Arabidopsis thaliana: one gene and its partners. The protein of the gene in region 3 interacts with the protein of the main gene of each other region in a pairwise test. Each region holds a gene or a part of one and is shown on either strand. Other genes may lie near its edges.

Region 1 (5,523 bases), on a different chromosome or scaffold from region 3:
AGTTGACGATAAATTTCAGATTTGAAGACGAAATAAAGCAAATCTTTAAATAAGTTTTTTTGGAAATATCATATGATATCAGAATTCTAAAAAATCCAACAAATCGGTAAGTTCTAACATATAAGATGAAATAGTACTTGGTAGGTACAAAAATTAAACGTTTTGATTCCACACATACAAAAAGAAGAAGAAAAGAGTAACTTTTTATTTGTCGTCCAACAAAGAATCGCTTTTCAATCAAGCTTTAGTGAAGGTGTTAGGTGTGTGTGGCTTAAGCATATACATCAGAAGACCAACAAAATTTATCTTAAGCACGAAGGTCACCGAACGTAGTCGTTTCAACGATGACCGTACCATTAATGCAGATTTGTAGTGCGTGTGGATATATACATGCACACGTGTGGAAGGTGAAGGTACAAAATGTGCATACGGCTTAAGGATAAGCGAGAACACGGAAGGATATTTTGTAGCAGCATCTTTCTATTCTATGCAACTAAGTAAACGAACCACATGCACCTGTTTTCTTTAATTTATTGCCTTTGTGATTTTTTTTGTTGACACCATTATGTTTTTTTTTTGTTTGTAAACCATATAATTAAGTAGTTTCCCTAAACCGTTAACAATTAATACATTCTATAATGTCGAATAAAAAGAAAAGGTAATGCAAGTGGAAGAATATCTAAACACGTTAGTAGACCAATAGCAAAATTACAGTTGCTAGCTTACACGACAGGAGGAACAAGACAAGAGTAGTTTTGCCTTTGTTAAGAATAATTAGCATGACACGTCACTCAAACTTACACGTGGAAGGATAATTCATGGACACGTGGACATACTGGAAAACAGCTGTTAAATCTTTGTCCGGTTATCGTAAGTTTTTGAATTTTAAAACTGTATTTAGCCGAATTAGGTCATGTTCCACGTGCCTTTTTTTCTGCACCACTATCTCTTTTCCACAAGAGGGGCAATGATTTTTTGGTCCAAAAATATACAGTTGTAATCTTGGACGGTGTGTCTTAAATAAAATAATATATGGACGGTGTTTTCTTTAATGTTTTCTATGTTCATATGAACTTCTCGGTGGTCGTTTCAATCACAAAATTTATCATACCAGAAAACAAAATATTTTCAATAATTGAGGCTGTACGTTGTGTATTTTAGGTTTTTTCTTTAGATTGTTGCATGTTATATTTTCAGTTTACTATATGTTGTGATGATTATTCGTTACAAATGTTTTCAAAATGTCATACTATAGTAGTCATTTATAATAGATATGAAAAATGATCACAGTTGATTTGTTTTTTTGGTGGACTACGAATAAAATCGTTTTGGTAATTGTCTAATCTTCGAGTGAGTAAGACACCGTCAATCAACCATCAATATCATCAATCAAAACCATTATTGATCTATTTTTTGGTTTAAGGAAAAGTTGGTAATTGTAAAACGACTTCAATAAAATATTTAAAACAAGGAGACCAAAACCGACACTCGGACCATTGATAATAGAAACAACGAGCAAGGTTATAGTAGTATAGTTGAGTCTCACAAACGAACACGTAAACCCAATATAATAACTACGCAAGGTTACATCTAGAGCTTATTGTTCCCATCACAATAACCTCTTGGCATTATTAATTATCAAATTCACTCAAAGTATTAAACTCCTGATGTCTAATAGATTATCAACAAATCGACAAAAATGTAGATATATAACTCAAAAGGTATAAATTCAAATGTTTGGTGGGGTTACGTAAAAACTTGAATTATTAAGAACTAACAATACTATAGTTTAATTAAAAGGAGAATTATGAACCGTTAGAGGGAAGGTTAGGGAGCGTGCATGAACATTACCTGACGTTTACCGACCTGATTCGTACCGTACATACCAGAACAAAGAGCTTTTAAAAACCCGCGTTTTACGACCGACACGTGGCAGTTCTTAAATGGATGACAGTTAGTGTTTTATTAATTGTTTTTGTTTGATTAACAAGTTTTATACAGCCTGGCTGTTTCTATTCGTATTTTCGATATAATAATTAAATATATTTCAGGAAACAAAGGCAGTGATGATTTTGCGTTCCAATTCGGCAACCTATGTTGTCGTTTTCTGCCACGTCAAAACCTCCTATCTTTTGTTAACCGCACATTTTACATCACGTTTCCTAAACCGAACATTAATATCTAACCATTTTTATACATTCACTTAATATCGCTCACACGGTTCTTTGTCAATCCCATTTTAATCCAGCTTCGTTTCAAATTATTGAGGTTTAGATCTTTTTATGATCATAGAGCAACTATATATAGATTTAGTATTGTCAATTTGTCATGCACTGTTATATGCATGAATTAGGTGTTTGTGTGTTGTTTAGTAATTAATTATACCTTCTTAGTGACAATTTGTTTTCTTTATTAGTAATGAAATTTGTGGTCAATAATTTTGATTAGTTTTCAACCCGGAAAATCGGTTATATGTAAAGTAGATATTATCATAAAGTTTTTATGTGAAGTGCTATACAGCCTGGCTTCGCTATTCTAAAGTCAAGACTAAACATAAAAATAAATAAAAACTGTCCTTACCCAAACCTAACCGTTATCATCTTTTTATTTTTTTCTTCAGATATTTCTTTTTCATTTTTATTTCCCCTATAAAAAAATTTAAATTCACCTCAAATTGTGCGAATATTATCATGGCTTTGCTAGTTGGGTTTCGTGATTTTGTCTCTTTAACTTCTTACTTTCGCCACGCGCTTAAATGGCGCGTGTACTCACAAACTCATACTTTGAGACTCGACTGATCTCCACGCTCAACTATACGAAATTGCTGATCTTGAACAAAATTATTACGAAAACGACAAAAAAGACACATCGACGTAGTCAGGCTTCGACGCGTGTCCACTTACAGCTGTACCGCAAACTTTGAAAAACCGCTTGCGTGGAAGAAGCGTTGCCCATGACTTCTCCACCGTCTTAACCGGTTTCCGGTTATCCTCCTCTCTTAAATCTCTGTATAAATAATTTTGTCCTCTCTTTAGTTTCTCGAACTTGTTTTTGGTTCATCTCTCAAAACCAAAATCACTAAAGAGGAGAAGATTGCTAAAGTTTGATAAAACATTCCAAAATCAATGGCTGATAGGATCAAAGGTCCATGGAGTCCTGAAGAAGACGAGCAGCTTCGTAGGCTTGTTGTTAAATACGGTCCAAGAAACTGGACAGTGATTAGCAAATCTATTCCCGGTAGATCGGGGAAATCGTGTCGTTTACGGTGGTGCAACCAGCTTTCGCCGCAAGTTGAGCATCGGCCGTTTTCGGCTGAGGAAGACGAGACGATCGCACGTGCTCACGCTCAGTTCGGTAATAAATGGGCGACGATTGCTCGTCTTCTCAACGGTCGTACGGACAACGCCGTGAAGAATCACTGGAACTCGACGCTCAAGAGGAAATGCGGCGGTTACGACCATCGGGGTTACGATGGTTCGGAGGATCATCGGCCGGTTAAGAGATCGGTGAGTGCGGGATCTCCACCTGTTGTTACTGGGCTTTACATGAGCCCAGGAAGCCCAACTGGATCTGATGTCAGTGATTCAAGTACTATCCCGATATTACCTTCCGTTGAGCTTTTCAAGCCTGTGCCTAGACCTGGTGCTGTTGTGCTACCGCTTCCTATCGAAACGTCGTCTTCTTCCGATGATCCACCGACTTCGTTAAGCTTGTCACTTCCTGGTGCCGACGTAAGCGAGGAGTCAAACCGTAGCCACGAGTCAACGAATATCAACAACACCACTTCGAGCCGCCACAACCACAACAATACGGTGTCGTTTATGCCGTTTAGTGGTGGGTTTAGAGGTGCGATTGAGGAAATGGGGAAGTCTTTTCCCGGTAACGGAGGCGAGTTTATGGCGGTGGTGCAAGAGATGATTAAGGCGGAAGTGAGGAGTTACATGACGGAGATGCAACGGAACAATGGTGGCGGATTCGTCGGAGGATTCATTGATAATGGCATGATTCCGATGAGTCAAATTGGAGTTGGGAGAATCGAGTAGACAAAGTGAGATTATTAGGAAACTGTTTAAATTGGAGAAGAAGAAAAATGCTCTGTTTTTTTCTCCTTTGGATTAGGCTTAAGAATTTTGGGTTTTAAGGAAATGTATAGAGGAAATCGAGTGAACAAAGCTCGAGAGCTGGGGACGTAGTGACGAAGACGAAGATCAAATTTCTCTTAAGCTATTCAGGAAAATAAAATAAATTTTTATTTATAACTACGCTTAATGATGATAATAGATCAAATTAATACACAAAGTATCACAAAGTGAAAGATAAATGATCCAGTTAAAGAACAAGTTTGTCGAGGATTGGTAAAGACTTGCATTTGGCAACTAAAGGCACAGATTTGGGCATGGTAAGACCCTTTCCTTCCGACATGTCAACGGCAACGTCATTGTCTCTCTCCCAATCGAAACACTGGATCAATGAGCCTAAAGCTAAGCTCAGTACTAGTTGGGCCAGGCCCATACCAGGACATGCTCTCCTACCGATTCCGAAAGGCAGAAACTTACCACGATGGGTCTCTGATTCAAACCTCTCTGGTTTGAAAGTTTCTGGGTCATCCCATACATTTGGGTCTCTCTGAATAGCCCACGCATTGATAAATAGCCAGGTGCGACGTGGAATGTCAAATCCAGCGACTTCACAGTCAGTGGATGAAGCGTGTGGGACAAGTAAGGGCGCCGCCGGAAACAAACGAAGAGTCTCAGAGATCACATTGTTGAGATAGGGACACTTGCCAGTATCTGATTCCTCAAACACACGCCCTTCTTTCGAAACCTCGTTTAGTTCCGTTTTGAGTTTCCTTAAAACTTCCGGATGATTTAGAAGGTTAGCCATAGCCCACTCCAACGTCACTGCGGTTGTGTCCGTTCCAGCAAGCAACATCACCTGCAATGAATCCTTTGAATCTTTGATGAATCAATCTTGATCACTCCTATTAACGATTCAAAATTATAGGAATTAAAAACTCATGTACCTGTACGAGCCCTTTGATGATATCATCAGTGTAACATTCAGGTTCTGATTCTTGAAGAGACAGCAAACGAGTGATCATCGTTTTCTCAAGCTCTGCTTTTCCTCTGTTTTTCCGATGCTCGTCGACTAATTTCTGCATAAACTTGTCCAATTTCGAAGCGAGTTTCTTTGCTCTCTTTCTGTATCCATCAAGATCAAAGAGCTTCAGAGTCGGGAGAAAATCTCCGACATAATTAACACCAGCGAAATCGAACACCTCCCTAATCAGCTTCCGAACTTCCTTAGTTTCCTCGTCTTCCTCTCGTTTTCCAGCGACCATGCTCATTAGGATGTTATACGTAAGCCCATAAAGAAACGGCTGGAGTTTCAATCTGACACTGCCTCCTGATGTTACCAGTTCCACGTTGATCTTCCGAATCATAGCTCTCACTTCGTCTCTCCGTATATCCGAAAAGTCTCTGAGACGAGCGGTGGACAAGATATCTACGGCGCAGAAACGGC
Region 2 (9,183 bases), on a different chromosome or scaffold from region 3:
CCAACGTTACTCTACACCGCAAATGATCCGAGCACCCTCCTGCTTCAAAAGTGCCATAAGCCGCAGGAAATTTACGATTCCATTCTTCATTAACAAGAACTCTGTCCAACTTTTTATTTATTATCCCCTCTTCTCTCTTGTTTGACCAAGTAAACACCGGACCATGATAGCTCATATCAGCTAGAGAGCAGTCTCTAACGACTTCTTGGAAATCTCGCATACCCTGCGGAATAAAAGGTGAAGTAACAAAATTTGAATGCTCCTCCCCCTCCAGAATTTCATTAAAATCACCAAGAATCATCCAACTTTTGGTACGGAACATTGGCATATTGTAATGATTTCTCAAGTCTTCCCAAAGTTCCCGCCTCTCATCCACATAGTTTGAAGCATAGATAAAAGAAACCAAAAATTCCTCTGCATTCTCTTCAGTCAAAACAGAGCAAGTAATCATTTGTCCACTTTTATAAACCGGAGTGACACGAACCGAACTCTTCCAAATAACCCAAATTCGTCCCAAACGATGGTGTTCATAGTTAGTCATAGAAGACCACCCAGGAAATACCTTAGAAATGATCTTGCTAGCACTAGTTTCATCCACCCTCGTTTCTAATAAACCCCCAAAAGTTAAAGACTCCTTTCTCACCCAATCACGAACAACGGAATGTTTATTTGATTTGTTAAAACCGCGCACATTCCAGAAGAACCCCGACATTTAATGATGTTTTTTGGAGTTTCTTCTGCTCGAATTGCTGGAGACATTGTCTCTAGCTTTTTGAGTAAAAGACTCCGAAAGGACTTTGTGTGAACTCTTGGAGGAGCGAGGAAGATTTACTCTCACCGCTCCTGCTTTCTCTTTATCCGAAGTGGAATTCTTTTCGATCGCTTGAGTAGAGACAACGTCATCAATAGAGTTCGTTCGCTCCGTCTCAATGACTTCCTCTGAGGAGATTGTGGGGAACTCATCTTTATCCCCATTCTCCTCCTGATCACTCAGGACAGAGTACCGAGAAGAGGATAAAATTGTTGCTTGGCCAAAAGTTAATGGTTTCCCATTTGACTTTTCTGTACTTTTGCTTCCTTTACCTGGGGAGACTATGGACCAACCATCTCCTTCCGACTGAGATTCTGGTGGTACCACCTTCTCTGCTACCACTTGTTGTTCAAAAACCTCCTGAGAAATCAAAATCGAGTTCTGAATCCCATCCTCTTTATTCCCACTATTAGCTGACTCATGGTCAGCAACTCTCACTGTGGTAGCAGAAGCAGAAGGATCCGCTAAAACTTCACCTTCTTCTAGCTCACTTTCTATCACCAGCGCTGGAGGCTTGAGCTTACTCACACAAACATCCACTAGGTGACCCCACTTACTACAACAAGTGCATTTGGGAGGCAACCAGGGGTAAATAAACTCCACGATAACATCTTTTTCCTCCTCAATTTTGAACCTGTGACACTTTGGAACGTCTTGCGAAAGATTTACTTCAACAAAAACTTTAGCTTCATCAAACTTTGTGCATAATTCTGTTTCAGGATGTAACCGTATTGGATTTCCTACTGAACTTGTAATAAAACTCAAACCATCCCAGGAGAACATGGAATGAGGAACATTCTTCACTGTGACCCACAACGGCATTGTTTTAATCTCTGGCTGGGCTTCTTCTTTAATCGGAGACCACTTGGCAACAATCATTGGTAAACCAGCAATGTTCCACATCCCTCTTCTGACTATTCTCGAACGCGTGGCGGAGTCACGGATTCGAAACTTTACTGAAGTAGAGTCTATCTCATAGACGTCAATCTTAATTGCTTTGTCCCCAAGAGTCCAGATCTTATTGACTATGACATGGATCTTAGCGACATGCGGAGCTTGTGATGGGAACCGTCCCACCAGAAAATCATCCCAGAGAGGGACAGATTCAGTGATAACTTCTTTCGGAACTGCAATGGTTGGGACACCGTCTTGCACAGAGACTTCATATTCATCTTTTTTCAGAGAAGGCCGTTTAGTAACTACTGCTGCATAGGACTTTTGCTGGACAGATCCAGATGGAGAACCAACTGTTCCTGCCTCAGAAGAGACTGGTAAAACCTGGTCGGACATGAGAAACCGACGGCAAGCCGCCGCTGAAACCCTAGCTTGCTGAAAAAGAATGAAAACCCTAGTCGCCAAGAAAATCGCCCTAGAGCTGACGTGTCATTAAAAAAAAAAAACATCATTCTTATAGTAGAAACATTTGATTGTTCTGTGGTAACTGGTAACGACTAAGTGATATGGTTTACTAGATCTTGCAAACAAATCTAATTGATCATGAGAAAAAATTGTAAGACTAGATCGATTATTTTAGTGGTCTAACAACTAGTTTCAAAGTTGTAATTTTCAAGATTGTTTATTACATTTAGTACATGTTTGAAGTGAAACAATATATCTCAATGTAAGTACATGATTCTCTTTACTACTTTGAATCTATCACAGAAGTTAGTGCAGACACCCGATTCGCTATGATTGTTAAGATCATAAAGTGACCTAGATCGATGAGCATCAATGTTTTTTTTTTTCTTTTGCCAATAAGCATCAATGTTTTCTTGACGAGCAATTGTCATTTTATTTCAAGAAGCGGAATCTGTTTTATGAAAGTGTTTATTGTTTACGATATAGAATCGAAGCGTTTGGAGGGCCAAAAGAAGTAGGAGAGGCAATAGTAAGAACAGTGACAGGATCTGGTCAACGAGCAGATTTGAAAGGAACTTTGCTAGAATCAAGTATCAGACAAGATTCAGAGAGAAACTTGAAGTACTACGAGTTGGAGTTTAAAGTCGAATCACCTCTTTTCCGGCGGCATAATGTAGCCGTTTGTTGCGCTCACAGTGGCCGGCTTTATACACTGAACGCTCAAGCGCCAGAGTCAGCTTGGTCAGAGGTGAAATCGGAAATTTACACTACTGCGAAATCGTTCAATATAATTTCTTGAATGTAAAGGATCGGAAAACAAATTGTAAAAACCCAAAAAGAAACAAGATACTACAAAGCAAAGCTTATTTTTTCTTCATATTGATAGGGTCTCTTTGTTTTTCTTAATTAATTCACACTATTGAGTTGATTACGATGATTAAGGTCAAAAATACGAAGTGACAATAAAAAGAGAAAAGTTTCGAGCATAATCATGTCTTCTTGATCGTGCCGCTCGCTATATAAACACTGCACCAAGCAATTACTATAATTTTTGATCAATTAAATATTAAATTTTGAGAATATGTTTCTATATTAATGAAAATAATTTAAAGTAATCATAAGTTTGTATCTTTGAACAAACGAAACTAGAAAACGCCTATCTCTGCTCATTGGCTTCTCCATCTCCGATCAAATCCGCGGTCGTAGTCAGAGAGAGAGACAAATGGCTATGCCTAGGGCAACCTCTGGTCCCGCTTACCCGGAGAGGTTCTACGCTGCTGCATCTTATGTCGGTCTCGACGGATCTGATTCGTCGGCGAAAAACGTCATCTCGAAATTCCCCGATGATACTGCACTACTTCTCTATGCGCTATACCAGCAGGTCAGCAACTTCCATTTCTGATCTCTTCCATTGTTGATCTCACGATTGTGGATTTTGCTTTTGAATTTCACGAGATCTGGTCGTTTGGGTGTTGATTTCTTTGTTTTAGTCACCGATTCATATTCCTCTCGCCGAATTCTTATCGGATTTTAGAAATGACGCACTTTACTTGTCTGATTAGCTGTGCTTGATCGTTATTTTCGATCCTGGTTAGTATATTCGAAATGCTCAGTAAAATGTTACCCGAGATCTCATCACGATTTGATTGGAAACATGATTGAAACAGTTTTATTTTATTAGATCTCAGGGAGCGTTGGTCCGTCAGTCGTAGTTTACTTGGATCTACATTGATTCTATAACTTGATTAGTATAGTCGTAGATGAATTTCTTACGAGGGGGTGAAACTGGCTGTTCCTTAACATAGAGAGAAACGTTCTCTTGTACTAATTATAATGTCGAGTCTACTAGTTTTTATCCCTGGGATAGATAGGCTCAGTGCTGATGATCTCTTGGATTTAACATTGAAACAGGCTACTGTAGGACCATGCAACACTCCGAAACCTAGTGCCTGGAGACCAGTGGAGCAAAGCAAATGGAAAAGGTTAGATTGGGTGCTGTGTTTTGCCCATACTTATCTACGATTAACATTTATGCATTTATCACTGGTTCTTTTATTTCTATTCTTGCGTTTGTGAATCATACTTGTAGGAATATGCTTCATGGTAGATATTAATAGGAGATGTCTTAGATTTCATCAATTACTAGAGCGTAAGAATCCAAATGCATTAGGGAAACGGGAAAGGAGTACTTTAGTGTAAGCTACTAGAGGAAAATAGAAATGCAGGATTTGAATGTGCATCCCTGGGGAAAAAAACTAAGTGCTTACCTATGTTTTGGACCTTTTGGTCTACATTACTGAGGTTGTTAATGCTTACGATCCTTTTTAAAGGAAAATAAGACTTTAAAGTTGTCCTCGTTCCTTTCCTGAAAGATACACATGCTACTGTTCTGAAGCATTTCATATTTACTTAGTTGGCAGGGGCTCGGAACCATGCCCTCCATTGAGGCAATGCGTCTCTTTGTGAAAATTCTGGAGGTAACCGACAAAGAGGTCTATTTTTTTTTTTTTTTTAAAGACTTAACTGGAGCATAACCTTGCTTTCTTCTCTATTGCTCAATTTTTATCAGGAAGATGATCCTGGTTGGTATTCGAGGGCATCTAATGATATTCCAGATCCTGTTGTAGATGTCCAAATTAATGTAAGTTTTGGTATCCCATGGGATTCGATGTCCAAACCATGGGAACTATTACACATATCTTTTGCTTGATTGAAGAAAATTATTTGAGTTTTTTAGTGCATTCATCTTTGTAGCAGAGAGCAAAAGATGAGCCTGTTGTTGAGAATGGGAGCACATTTAGTGAGACAAAAACAATTTCTACGGAGAATGGACGTTTGGCTGAAACCCAAGATAAAGATGTAGTCTCAGAAGACTCAAATACTGTTTCTGTATATAACCAGTGGACTGCACCCCAAACATCAGGTCAGCGTCCAAAAGCTCGTTACGAGGTAATTTATTTTTTCTCTCTCTTTTGAAGAATAAGTAAAAGGTTATGTCATTCATGTATCTTCTGTATTTTTCTAAGTCTTGTTTATTATATTTTTTTCAGCATGGCGCAGCAGTTATTCAAGATAAGATGTATATATATGGTGGAAATCACAATGGCCGTTACCTTGGTGATCTTCATGTAAGCAACCTCTATGGTTTATAAGCATAAGCTCCTAATGTAATTGAGATATTCAGCTCCTAGCTTGACAATACCAGTCCCGGTGACAGTTCCTAAGCAAAGCTTCTGTGGAATGTATACAGGTTCTAGATTTAAAAAGTTGGACTTGGTCAAGAGTTGAAACCAAGGTTGCAACAGAATCTCAGGAAACATCAACTCCGACATTGTTAGCTCCTTGTGCTGGTCATTCTTTGGTAAGTTTATTAACTTTTTCGTTTTGTTTTTGTTATTATCGTTTTGCTTTCCTGCCCAGAAATATTCAGGAGAGGGGTTTCAGCTAAAGCAAAGTATTCTCTTCATGAAAGTCACTTGCTATATTAGTTTGTAATAAAGAAGACTCTAGCTATACATTATTCACTTACCTTCTTTGCTTGTTTTGTAGATAGCATGGGACAACAAGCTGCTGTCTATCGGTGGTCACACAAAGGATCCCTCAGAATCTATGCAAGGTTAGCGTTTATATACCTTTGAAGACGATAATTTGCACATATTTATAAGATTTTTCTGGAATCTCAATGATTACATATCACTTTCTACTGTTTCCTGTCACAGTGAAGGTCTTTGATCCCCATACCATTACATGGTCAATGTTAAAGACATATGGAAAACCACCGGTATATCTTCACTTCTCTCATGTTGTCTCATTTGCTTTCCTGTCACCTTTGTATGAAAATATTACAGTTTTATACAAAAAAAAATTTGGCCGTCAAAAGACAAAAAAATAAAAGTTGTTTTCTTTCCTTACCCTCCCATAATATCTTCAGGGTTAAGGTGCATCTAAATCCAGAATTTCTCCTTGCTAATTTGGAAGTCAAATATGCATTTTGGTTACTTAAATTTAGACTTTCTTATAATTATCTCTTGCTTTTAGGTTTCACGTGGAGGCCAGTCAGTTACAATGGTGGGTAAAACCTTGGTGATATTTGGCGGGCAAGATGCAAAGAGATCACTTCTGAACGATTTGCATATACTTGACCTAGACACGATGACCTGGGATGAGATAGATGCCGTGTAAGATTTTATGATGTTTCTGCATTTTGTTCTCTTTCGAAGAAGTCAAACCCATTTAAGATTAGATATATAACCAGAATATGAATATGTTAGAAATCGACCTCCTATCTCCTTTAGTATCTTAGTCGTTATTGAAAGATTAGCAATTCAGGATTTAAATTGGTGTCAAATTGCAGGGGTGTATCTCCATCTCCGAGGTCTGATCATGCTGCTGCAGTGCATGCAGAACGGTTCCTTCTTATCTTTGGTGGCGGCTCACATGCAACCTGTTTCGATGACCTGCATGTCCTTGATTTGCAAACTGTAAGTTAAGCTAAGAGTCTATTCTTTCAGCTGCTCTCAAACATGCTTTGTCAGCCTCTGATATAATTGTCACATATAGATGGAGTGGTCAAGACCAGCACAGCAAGGTGATGCACCAACTCCAAGAGCTGGACATGCTGGCGTGACAATTGGGGAGAACTGGTTTATTGTTGGTGGCGGTGATAACAAGAGTGGTATGTTAATGCACTTTTCCCTTGGAAATTTTCTCTTCCCAACCGTTCTGTTTATCACCCCCTAGAACAAAAGATATTTGCTTGGGTTTTTTTTTTTGTGTGTGTGGGGTGACTAATTTTGTGACAAATTACTGCAGGGGCATCGGAGAGTGTTGTACTAAACATGTCAACTCTTGCATGGTCGGTCGTTGCTTCAGTTCAAGGACGTGTACCTCTTGCTAGCGAGGTACTTAAATAAACAGACTTTATCCATATTAATTCCCAGATAGCTATACAAATAAACACGGTAGAAGCCTTTTCAAGACTTCGAAAAAAGTCAAGTCATGCTTATTTCATTTCCATCGTCCTTTCCTTTGCTACTGACAGGGATTAAGTTTAGTGGTGAGTTCATACAATGGTGAAGATGTACTAGTCGCTTTTGGTGGATACAATGGACGTTACAATAACGAAGTAGGGACTGTGATCTGAACCCATAAGTTCATTTCTCTTAATTTTTCATTTAGTTCTGCTTCTAATTCTTATCTGGCATTAGATTAATCTTCTTAAACCAAGCCACAAATCAACATTGCAAACAAAGACTCTGGAAGCGCCTTTGCCAGGTAGTCTTTCTGCTGTTAATAATGCCACAACCAGAGACATTGAGTCTGAGGTTGAGGTGAGCCAAGAAGGCAGGGTACGGGAAATTGTCATGGACAATGTTAACCCTGGATCAAAGGTATCTTCTTGTCAAATTTCCCTCCTTAATATATTTTGCATAGCACCACCTTTTGATTTGTTTGAGAGAATTGAAGCATCTTATGCATATATGCTGTGGTAGTGATTGTGTCGACACAGAATATAGTTACTCCAGTCCGGATCATCACCTTCTCGCACTCTTATTATGTTTTGGGTGATTAATCCCCAGGTTGAAGGAAACAGCGAACGCATTATTGCGACTATTAAATCTGAGAAGGAAGAGCTGGAGGCATCACTGAACAAAGAGAGGATGCAGACTCTCCAACTAAGGCAAGAGTTAGGAGAAGCAGAATTACGAAACACAGATTTGTACAAGGTACTAATATTATCACCTTCTTAAAACAGAAGCCGACATGAATAAATTGGTGAACCAATCGTTCATAAAGACTGGTTGCAGCAGTCTTCCAATTGCATTCACATTTAACATCTGAAATCTCGGAATTTTTCCTCGAATATGATATACCTAACTTTGTACTGACATTTTGTAGGAACTTCAATCTGTTCGTGGCCAACTTGCAGCCGAACAATCAAGGTGTTTCAAACTGGAGGTACTAAACCGTAGCCACATCTCTTTTGTACCATAACCTACAGAATTTGGAATCTCGTGAAACCCGTGATTTAATGACTACATATACTCATATTCCAGGATGAATAGGAATCTTGATTAGAACATTCATCCATTGTAACCACTGGATCTATCACATATCTTCTCTGTCATTTATTGATAAGCTTCATCACGTCATAAGAACAAAAACAAAGCAAATCTAATTGGGTCACTTTCTCCGAATCTGCAGGTTGATGTTGCAGAGCTAAGACAAAAGCTTCAAACATTGGAAACACTACAGAAGGAACTCGAACTCCTGCAACGTCAAAAGGCTGCCTCAGAACAAGCTGCAATGAACGCTAAACGACAGGGCTCGGGTGGCGTATGGGGCTGGCTCGCTGGAAGCCCTCAGGAAAAAGATGATGATTCGCCTTGATCATTTTTGGTCCGGTAATGCCATTTTCCTCCGGACGATATTTGCTTTCAGTAAAGAAATATATATAGTTTTTTTTGTCTGAGTCTCTCGCATTGTTTCTTCTTCCAATAAGATATTTTTTTAGCGAGCTTTGATTACTACCGATGTTTAGCTTTGTTCTCTGTTATACAAGTGATTCACCAGAATATTCGTTAACTTTTTTGAAATATTTGTTTTGGGAGTGTCTGACAAAATTATGAAAACTAAATCAGTTTACGATCAGCAATCATAATTTTCTTATATTTACGAGTCTCTTACTCTCTTCACTCTTTAGTCTTCGTTTGCATTAAAAATTAAATTAAATTTACCTCACTTCGTAAGTGGACAAAAAATCACGTTTTAGGCAGCAAAATAAAATAAAATAAAAAGATCACGTTTTTTTGTCCCATGACGTGGCAACCTATTACTGGATGGGAAGTTCGACCGTTCACCATCACCATTTATGACGCTGAGAAGTTACCAAAATGTCCTTCTCACCAAGTGATGCTTTTGTCATCTTCTCCAGCTTTACTCTCATGAAATTTCTTAAATTTTCTCTTCCAGCAAACAATCTCAGGATTTAAACAAAGTTACGCATCTTCTGG
Region 3 (8,155 bases):
GAGAATCATACTTCCTCCTTCAAGAATTCTATATAGCTTAGCTTCATAGAGAAGTTGAGGATGCTTTGTTTTACTGTTCTCCTGCAAGAGAAAATGATTGAATTAAAAACAAGTGTTAGCTTGAAGAATATATTGCAGCTAAAAAGCACCGAGTTTAAAACCTTGCTCAATTTTAGAGTAAAGCAATTCAAACAAAATCAATTAAGAGACATAGCAGATCCAAATCAAATCTCCAGATTGGATGGATTCAATTCGTCTCAAGGCAAATTGAGCTGGGACTTACGATCTTAACAGCTACGATCTCGAAGGTATCGACGTGCGTAGCTGCGAAAACAACAAACAGAAGAGAAGAGCGTCAATTTCAAATAAAAAAGCAAACTCGGAAAACCAAAGGGACAAGAACAGAGGAGAACACAAAACCTAGAAAAATCTCTCCGAACGAACCACCGCCGATCTTCCGTCCGAGCTTGTACTTGCCGCCGATGATGCGTTCCATGGCAGCTCCAATCAGAACCGAATCTGGATCAAGCGCAAGGATAGAGATAAGGATTTAGGGTTGTTGTTTAGAAGATTGAAATTAGAGGAACTTAAAAACATATATTATTATTTTTGTTTGACTGACATCGGTGGTAGTGACATGGACCCAGGCTTGTTTGAGCCGTAGTAGTGATCCTTCAAAAAAAAATTTGTACACCTAACTACTGCACCATTTTGGGTCCGCCAATCTTTTTTTACCTTATAAACAAACACGAGGGTATTTACGTGATTTTGTAATGTCACGCTGGCACGGTGGATGATTTGATGATTTCCGTTTTTGGGGTCTGCAAAATGATGAAGGTTCGAAAATTTAATGGGTTGGCTGATTTTCGAGTCATAAACTATTTCGATTCTTAGTTTTCACTCCCGGATTTTTGGGCCCTTAAATTTCCACCATCAATTTTCATATTCCTCAAAATTACATCATCTACTTTCGAATTCATGATTAAACATACATTTTCAATTGAACCATTCATTTAACCGGGATTAACCACAAATCCGCGTTTACTGTACCGCGATTGTGATTAACCCGACTAATACCCAGACCCGTTAAGAAAACGACGTCGTTTTCATTCTTCTTCTTTAACTCTCAAATCGATTTGGTAGTCCTCTTCTTTTGACTTTCATCTCTGTCTCCATCGTCTTCTAGATTGACGTCTCCATCAGACGCTATGTCACCATCGTCTTCTCTATTTTCCTCTCCATCAGAAGCTCTGTCTCCATCTATCCCGACGTCCTCTCCCTCGATTCTGGTGGCTTCGTCCTCCTCGACTCCGCTATCACCACTATCACTTCCATCGTCGGCTTCAATGTCACTCTCTGGAGGTTCGAAATCGGGGTCATCTGGATCGCTTTGGTAAATCAATCTTTCCTCCCACCAATTCTTCATTTCTCCCTATTCGAAACCCAAATCGAGACCCAAAAATTCGAACCGAAGAAGAAAACCCCAAATCCCCTTTTGTCTTTCTCTCTCAAGAACCCTAATTTCACAGTGTCGAGATTAAAGAAGAACGACTAAATCGATTTGAGAGTTAAAGAAGAAGAATGAAAACGACGTCGTTTTCTTTCTCTTTTTGATGAGTTAAACGAAATGAAAACGACGTCGTTTTCTTAACGGGTCTGGGTATTAGTTGGGTTAATCGCAATCGCGGTACAGTAAACGCGGATTTGTGGTTAATCCCGGTTAAATGAATGGTTCAATTGGAAATGTATGTTTAAGCATGAATCCAAAAATAGATGATGTAATTTTGGGAATATGAAAGTTGATGGTGGAAATTTAAAGGCCCAAAAGTCCGGGTGTGAAAGCTGAGAATCGAAATAGTTTATGGCTCGAAAATCAGCCAACCCAAATTTAATCCACTAACTAGTTCTCTACCAAATCGATCAATTCTAGGTGTTTGTATTTCAATATTGAGACTACAATTTTATACGTTTTTTTTTTTTAATAATAGCAATTGAAAATGCATGTTTGGATCAAGTCAAGCTTTTTGATATAATTTTTTTCAATGCACAAAATCGAGTAAGAAAAATCAAACACAGAATACCATTAAACTGAATAGGAAATTCAGAGAAAAAAAAAGGGGGAAGTGTTTCTCGGAGCATTCCAGAAGCTAGCCATAGCTTATCCTTTTACGTTCTCGTCAGCTGCACATTAGCTTGATGGTGACATGTCCCTGCCACAAGCAACTCTTGACTCAAGCCTTTGAAGGCATCTCTGCTGAAGCTGCTCATGCTTTGCTCTTGATTTTCTGCAAACAATGTTGATGACACAGCAAACCCAGGTTATGCCCCAACACAGGGAACTACGTACAGAAATACGAACAAAGTTTTATAGAAGAAAACTTGGGAGAATGAATCACAAGAACCAAATTACACGCCCGGTTGCAAGATTTTATACAAAGGTTGAAGTCAGTCATTTGTGAGAATCTTGAAGGAAAGCAAACATAATCTTCATGCCTTTTGTCAAACAGTAAGCTGTTCATGGAAAAACTCCATTCAGATCTTCAACCTCAGTCTAGAGCTTTTCACTGCAGAAATCACAGTTTAGACCCAAAGGCACACATAATCTTGCTCAGCAGATCAGATGAATGATATACTCCAACTTTTTTTGCATCATTTCCCCGGTGACATGAATGGTGAAGTCCAACCGCCGGTTTTATTCCCGCTCCCAAACCCAGAATTTGAGGTTTCGGGTCTGACATTTCTTTTTGAGGTACCCGCAGGAGATAATGAAGTGGATGATGGCATGTTCATCTGCAATGGGTTTTCAGTAAAATAATGGTCAAGAGCATATTTCGTGATGATCAGTATCGTGTTTTAATCATTTATGCTATATGTAGTTCATATCACAATATAGAGCTCGTTGATGACAATTGACCATGCAAAACAGGTAAAAGCTTTAAGCAGAGAACCATGCAGAACTCTGAAGCAACACAGATGCAGGCATGAGATGCTAACACAAGGGGGAGGGTTGCAGGATACAACATTTATTTGGAAGAGGCAAATGAATAAGCACGTACATTCTTGTGGACTTGATCAAAACCCAGACTCCTCCCTACAGCGGTATTAATCTGTGGGCTTGGACCACTGGCATTAGCCGGTCTGACACGGTCAGAGACTTGGGCTTCATGTGAAATCTTAGTTCCTCCTGCCAAACGGAGAGTTAGCATCAAGATATTGAAATAAACAGTTGCAACGGGAAACTAAATCAGCCAAACACTCTATGCCAGTTGAGTCCAGTGTGAAAGTCGAGAGAAAACAAAAAACACATCATATACTATTACAAAATTAATCAGAAAGTGACACAATTAAAATTTATAACTCGAGCTGACCTCGATGATTGCTTGTGTCCATTGGTATTGCACGAGCATTACTAGACCCAGGAACGGCCTGCAGCATGACAGTTTATTGTTAGGAAGACAGGCATATCTATATTTAGCACCAAAACTAAAAAATAGCAAAACCAAGTAAAACTTCTCCCCAGGAAATCTTCTCTATGAACAAGACAAAATATGCATACACCTGGAGAAAAAAAAATAACAAATGGTATTGATAAACTATACCTGAGACTGACTTCTAGTTTTCTGTGATTGCTGATACTTTATAATAGTCCAGTCATATATATAGTCAAACTCATATCCTGCAAAGAAGAAAACGTTTAAGTGAGCTAGGTAGATAACTGATGCTAGCAGAGAGGATTATAAAAATGATGGAGGGATGTCTTTCTCAAAGTACCTTCCCGTGAGAATAAATCACGAAAAAGCCGCTTCAAGAATCCATAATCAGGGCGTTGATCAAATGTCAGTGTGTGGCAATAATGAAAATATGAAGCAAACTCCACGGGGTGGCTTTTGCATAGAACCTACAAAGGATGGGATATTATTCAGTTGAATGAGGATTAACAAAAAACAATTCACTCACACAGTAGAGGGAAATAGACCTCAATAGGAGTTGATATCTTCTTCTCACAAATTTTGTCATACTTTTGCTTCTTGTCAACAGCCTTAAGACCCTGCCATGGAAGGCTAGAAAAGGAGGTTCATTAAAATAGGAACAAAATGTAAAGCAAGAAAACGGTTAAGTAAATCTCAAACAAGGAAAAACAATACCCTGCCAAAAACACAATGTTAACTAGGTTCTTTCAAGTCAAAAAGTCAACACACCTTCCTCTTAAGAAGTACAGAAGCACATATCCAAGAGACTCTAGGTCATCCCGTCTACCTTGCTCTGCGAAAGAGAAATCGAAATATGTGAGCAAAAACTTTACTTCACAAAGGGGAGAAAAAAGTGGCAGCATTCCTTACCAATACCAAGATGTGTATTGCAACTTGCATATCGTGCAGTTCCTGTTAAATTCTTGTTTTCCCTGAATACAACCAAATAAAAGGTAATAAGTTGTATAATGTGACCTTAAAAACTTATAACAGATAAGATAATTTACCACCTCCAGATGGTAGACACAATATAATGAACCATGGCCACAAATACCTATAAGGGATGTGGCGGTTGGTGTTGGCATCACGATATCTTTTGGCCAGTCCAAAGTCAATTAGATAAACCTGATTCGCTTTGCGGCCTAGGCCCATGAGAAAGTTATCTGGTTTTATATCTCTATGCAGATATCCTTTGGAATGTACATATTCTATTCTAGTTAGCTGTAAAATCGGAATAAGAAAATCATAAGCACATTAGATGATAAATGTATAACTCAAGAGAAATGATTAGTATTTAAACAGAACCAGACGCAATAAATGTGATTAAAACTCATGCCATACCATTTGATCAGCCAACATCAAGACCGTCTTTGGTGAAAATTTTCTCCCACAGTAGACGAAAAGATCTTCGAGACTTGGACCGAGCAAATCCATCACTAAAGCATTCTCTGTTCCATCAACTCCAAACCATCTTATGCGCGGAATTCCACCTGCAAAATGAGCATTGTACTGATAATCAATCCCTCCAATGACCAACAACGACAGAATGGGAAAAGATAGGAATGAGAAACATACTTCCTCCTTCAAGAGTTCTATATAGCTTAGCTTCATAGAGAAGCTGAGGATGTTTTGTTTTACTGTTCTCCTGCAAAACAATCCAAATGATCTGAGTTAAAGACAAATTGTCAGCTAAAAAGTACCATTTCAAGGAGCTTGACTGATAAATTTAGAGTTAATCAATTCAAAGAACCACACGAAACAATGAACATGATACAAAATTCCCAGAGTAGATTCGTTTAATAGCTGATTCAATTGAAACTTACGATCTTAACAGCTACAATCTCGAAGGTATCGATGTGCGTAGCTGCGAAATCAACAAACAAGGTACGTCAATTTCAAACCAAAGAAGAAGAACAAAACTCGAGAATCAACGAGAACACACCTAGGAAAATCTCTCCAAAGGAACCACCGCCAATCTTCCGTCCGAGCTTGTACTTGCCGCCGATGATACGTTCCATGGCAGCTCCGATCACAACCGAATCTGGATCATGCGCAAGGGATAGAGATATCAATTTAGGGCTTTTTTACTTCGTTGAATTTGAGAGTTGAAATTTGCGAATAGATGAGACAATAGGGGCATTAACGTAAATTGTATGGTATAGTAAGGCTAAGAAAATTTGTGTGTCGGTGACGTGGACTGAAATTTAGTTGCCACGTAGGACCGGTGGAGTTTCTAATCCACTAGTTCTAAAGTCAACGCAATGTGTCTAAATATGGATAATTTTGGGGATAATTTTGTATTGGATTTTGTCTCTTTTTACTAGGGTTTTAGCTTTTGAATTTGTTTTTTTTTGTATAGGATTTTAACAAAGAAAAAATGGAAAAAAAAAAACTTCTTCTTCTTCATCATGATTGCTCATTCGAGTTATCAATGAATCAAAGACACACAAAAATCCTCACAAAAACAATTCAGAAAAATAAATTATTAAAAAAAATAATGAAAAACGAATTTACAGTCCGTCCCCATTAACCTCGACCGCGGTGCTATGATTGCCGGAGCCTCTCCTCGTTCCGCCCGCTGGCCGGAAACTTGAATTAGAATTGCTTCTTCGAGCATTCCGGAGGCATAACACCTTTAAATCTGTTAGTGTCCTTGCAATAATCATAGATCATGAAACCATCTCTTATCTTTTGCATCTTCGTCAGCTGCGAAGCAGTGAGCTGACTAAATGATGGTGATGTCCACCAATTAGACCGTATAGTTGGATCTACACATTGCTTGATGCTGACTGATCCCTTCCACAAACAAGCTCTTGCCTTGTACCTACGACCCTCGGCCACAAATGGTGCTAGCGTCCAGTTAGTCTTCACTCGACCTCCTTGTGTTGCCCAGTCTTCTGCGTTCCATAGACTCGCAAACACTTTCATACCTTGCTTGTTCGGGTATGCGATTCCTTCACTTTCGTAGTTTCTAAAAACTCTGATCGGAGTTCCATCGACGAACCACCTATATAAGATATACAACATGGTGTGCGACACGTTTATTTATAGAAAGGAAATAAAAACATATAATCGTTTGAGATTCCTAAAGTTTTTTTGGTTTGAAGGTTCGAAAACATTAAGGAACTAAAAGAAAAATTCATCATGAAGTGTTTGTACTTTAATGTTGTTTTACAGTAACAAACTAAACTATCTAAGTAACATTTAATCTTACTTAAGTTTTTTTGATGTGGTATTTCATTGATAGAAAGTACCATTTCTTAGCATTTGTTTGGAGTTTTTATAAAGTACTTAAGAAACCGCCATAGCCATAAGTTAATTACTTACACAACTTCGGATGGGTTCCAATGGATGGTATAGTTGTGGAAACCATTGGTCGGGTTGAACCATGGCCGGAATTGTTGTTCGCGGTTTCCTTTCCCTTGAGCATATAAGTTGGTGTGGATCGTGTACGGCTGACCAGTCGCATTTCCTAGGAACTCGAAGTCTATCTCATCGTGTGTACTTCCCGTAGACGATAACTACAAAGAAAAATCTGAAAACATTAATCTAATTTTTCTATATATAAAAGAATTGCGTATTGATTCTATTTTTTTTTATTTTTTTTGTAATTCTATCGATCGAGTTCAAAAGAAAATTTTACGTAATAGGCTGCAACGGTTCCAGCAGAATTCCCTGGCACAAGTTTGATGAGCATTTCTACGCTTCCAAACAAATGAGCCACCTTTGATTTAATAGCAGATCCTGCAAAAACAAACAAAAACATAAAAACAGTTATACATGTTTATCTATCAAGTTTCTCATGAAATAATAGACTAAAATTAAATGGACTGATTTTAAAGTTATTGTGTTATAAGATTACTATATACCTGCAGATTTGTCTAGGACAAGTCGAAGGTTGGTACCATTCATGAACATGTGATCTTTACCCCATGTAACAATAAAATTCTTACTGAAGTCTGCCTCCACAAATGTGCGACCAAGAGTCGCTAAGGCAGCTGCCAGAACGAACATTAACGTCTTCGCTTGAAGACCCGCCATCTTACGAATTTGATTTGTGTTTGGAATGTTTTGGATTGGAACTCTATTCGATCACCATTTGTTTGTCAGTAAGGCTTTCTTTATATATAACTTCTAAGAAATCGAAATTTTGACGTAGTCCAAAAAGTATAGAGTTTTGACAATTGACGTGCATCTAATGAACTTTGTATGCATGAATTAGACAACATAACAATTAAAGAACTAACTTCTTTAATATAAAGAAAATGCTATCCTGGAAAGGTACTATGAATATGTATGTTTCTTAGTTTCCAATCACCAACATGTGTTTGATAAATAAATATTAGATAGAAAAAAAAAAAAAAACTAAAATATAAGAAGATGGACACTGTTAGCTGGCTCACGCGGTTGTGGTAGAGGCCGAGGAATATACGTGGGGAAGACTCCACAAATAAATGGGGTCGATGAACTTGTCAACTTCTCCTCTTCCAAATCAGAAATTTTACCAATAGTAACTTCGTTTGTCATCAATCTGTTTTATTACTCTATTGTTCCTTACGATTTCCATATTTTTAATCAGGTATTTTCGTCTCGTTGCATACTGCATAGGGCTTAGATAAAAAAAATCCGTTACATTGTTTTAGGATTTCATGAAAAAAATTTAATAAATCATGCTTAACCAAAAA

What was found. Proteins that work in one complex are often made in the same cells at the same time.
Region 1: the proteins of ckl4 (region 3) and MYBR1 interact in binary tests that used the Arabidopsis thaliana proteins (3 or more experiments, as listed by UniProt).
Region 2: the proteins of ckl4 (region 3) and ACBP4 interact in binary tests that used the Arabidopsis thaliana proteins (3 or more experiments, as listed by UniProt).

What each region holds. Positions count from the first base shown.
Region 1 is NC_003076.8:26,850,984-26,856,506, forward strand, and holds MYBR1 (myb domain protein r1), read left to right. Parts: upstream 1-3,038; 5' UTR 3,039-3,125; coding exon 3,126-4,043; 3' UTR 4,044-4,329; coding exon of another isoform or gene 4,330-4,935; 3' UTR 4,936-5,023; downstream 5,024-5,523. Other genes in the region: CYP81G1 (cytochrome P450, family 81, subfamily G, polypeptide 1), read right to left, coding at 4,330-4,935, 5,024-5,523. UniProt on the Arabidopsis thaliana protein: Transcription factor. Represses the expression of protein phosphatases 2C in response to abscisic acid (ABA). Confers resistance to abiotic stresses dependent of ABA. In response to auxin, activates the transcription of the auxin-responsive gene IAA19.
Region 2 is NC_003074.8:1,558,488-1,567,670, forward strand, and holds ACBP4 (acyl-CoA binding protein 4), read left to right. Parts: upstream 1-3,183; 5' UTR 3,184-3,392; coding exon 3,393-3,551; intron 3,552-4,081; coding exon 4,082-4,152; intron 4,153-4,583; coding exon 4,584-4,647; intron 4,648-4,739; coding exon 4,740-4,811; intron 4,812-4,924; coding exon 4,925-5,119; intron 5,120-5,220; coding exon 5,221-5,298; intron 5,299-5,420; coding exon 5,421-5,531; intron 5,532-5,719; coding exon 5,720-5,786; intron 5,787-5,889; coding exon 5,890-5,951; intron 5,952-6,208; coding exon 6,209-6,348; intron 6,349-6,524; coding exon 6,525-6,651; intron 6,652-6,730; coding exon 6,731-6,845; intron 6,846-6,982; coding exon 6,983-7,071; intron 7,072-7,211; coding exon 7,212-7,295; intron 7,296-7,377; coding exon 7,378-7,560; intron 7,561-7,749; coding exon 7,750-7,896; intron 7,897-8,068; coding exon 8,069-8,128; intron 8,129-8,374; coding exon 8,375-8,560; 3' UTR 8,561-8,849; downstream 8,850-9,183. Other genes in the region: AT3G05410 (Photosystem II reaction center PsbP family protein), read left to right, coding at 2,657-2,969; AT3G05425 (uncharacterized protein), read left to right, coding at 8,987-9,118. UniProt on the Arabidopsis thaliana protein: Binds medium- and long-chain acyl-CoA esters with very high affinity. Can interact in vitro with oleoyl-CoA, barely with palmitoyl-CoA, but not with arachidonyl-CoA. May function as an intracellular carrier of acyl-CoA esters.
Region 3 is NC_003075.7:14,243,692-14,251,846, reverse strand, and holds ckl4 (casein kinase I-like 4), read right to left. Parts: upstream 5,588-8,155; 5' UTR 5,489-5,587; coding exon 5,413-5,488; intron 5,335-5,412; coding exon 5,294-5,334; intron 5,116-5,293; coding exon 5,046-5,115; intron 4,961-5,045; coding exon 4,812-4,960; intron 4,692-4,811; coding exon 4,525-4,691; intron 4,403-4,524; coding exon 4,341-4,402; intron 4,264-4,340; coding exon 4,200-4,263; intron 4,062-4,199; coding exon 3,977-4,061; intron 3,899-3,976; coding exon 3,772-3,898; intron 3,677-3,771; coding exon 3,600-3,676; intron 3,427-3,599; coding exon 3,369-3,426; intron 3,185-3,368; coding exon 3,057-3,184; coding exon of another isoform or gene 3,024-3,056; exon of another isoform or gene 2,791-3,023; coding exon 2,650-2,790; 3' UTR 1,975-2,649; downstream 1-1,974. Other genes in the region: ckl3 (casein kinase I-like 3), read right to left, coding at 12-81, 284-324, 421-496; AT4G28870 (mutator transposase MUDRA protein), read right to left, coding at 1,127-1,426; XTH26 (xyloglucan endotransglucosylase/hydrolase 26), read right to left, coding at 6,066-6,477, 6,798-6,991, 7,114-7,214, 7,340-7,511.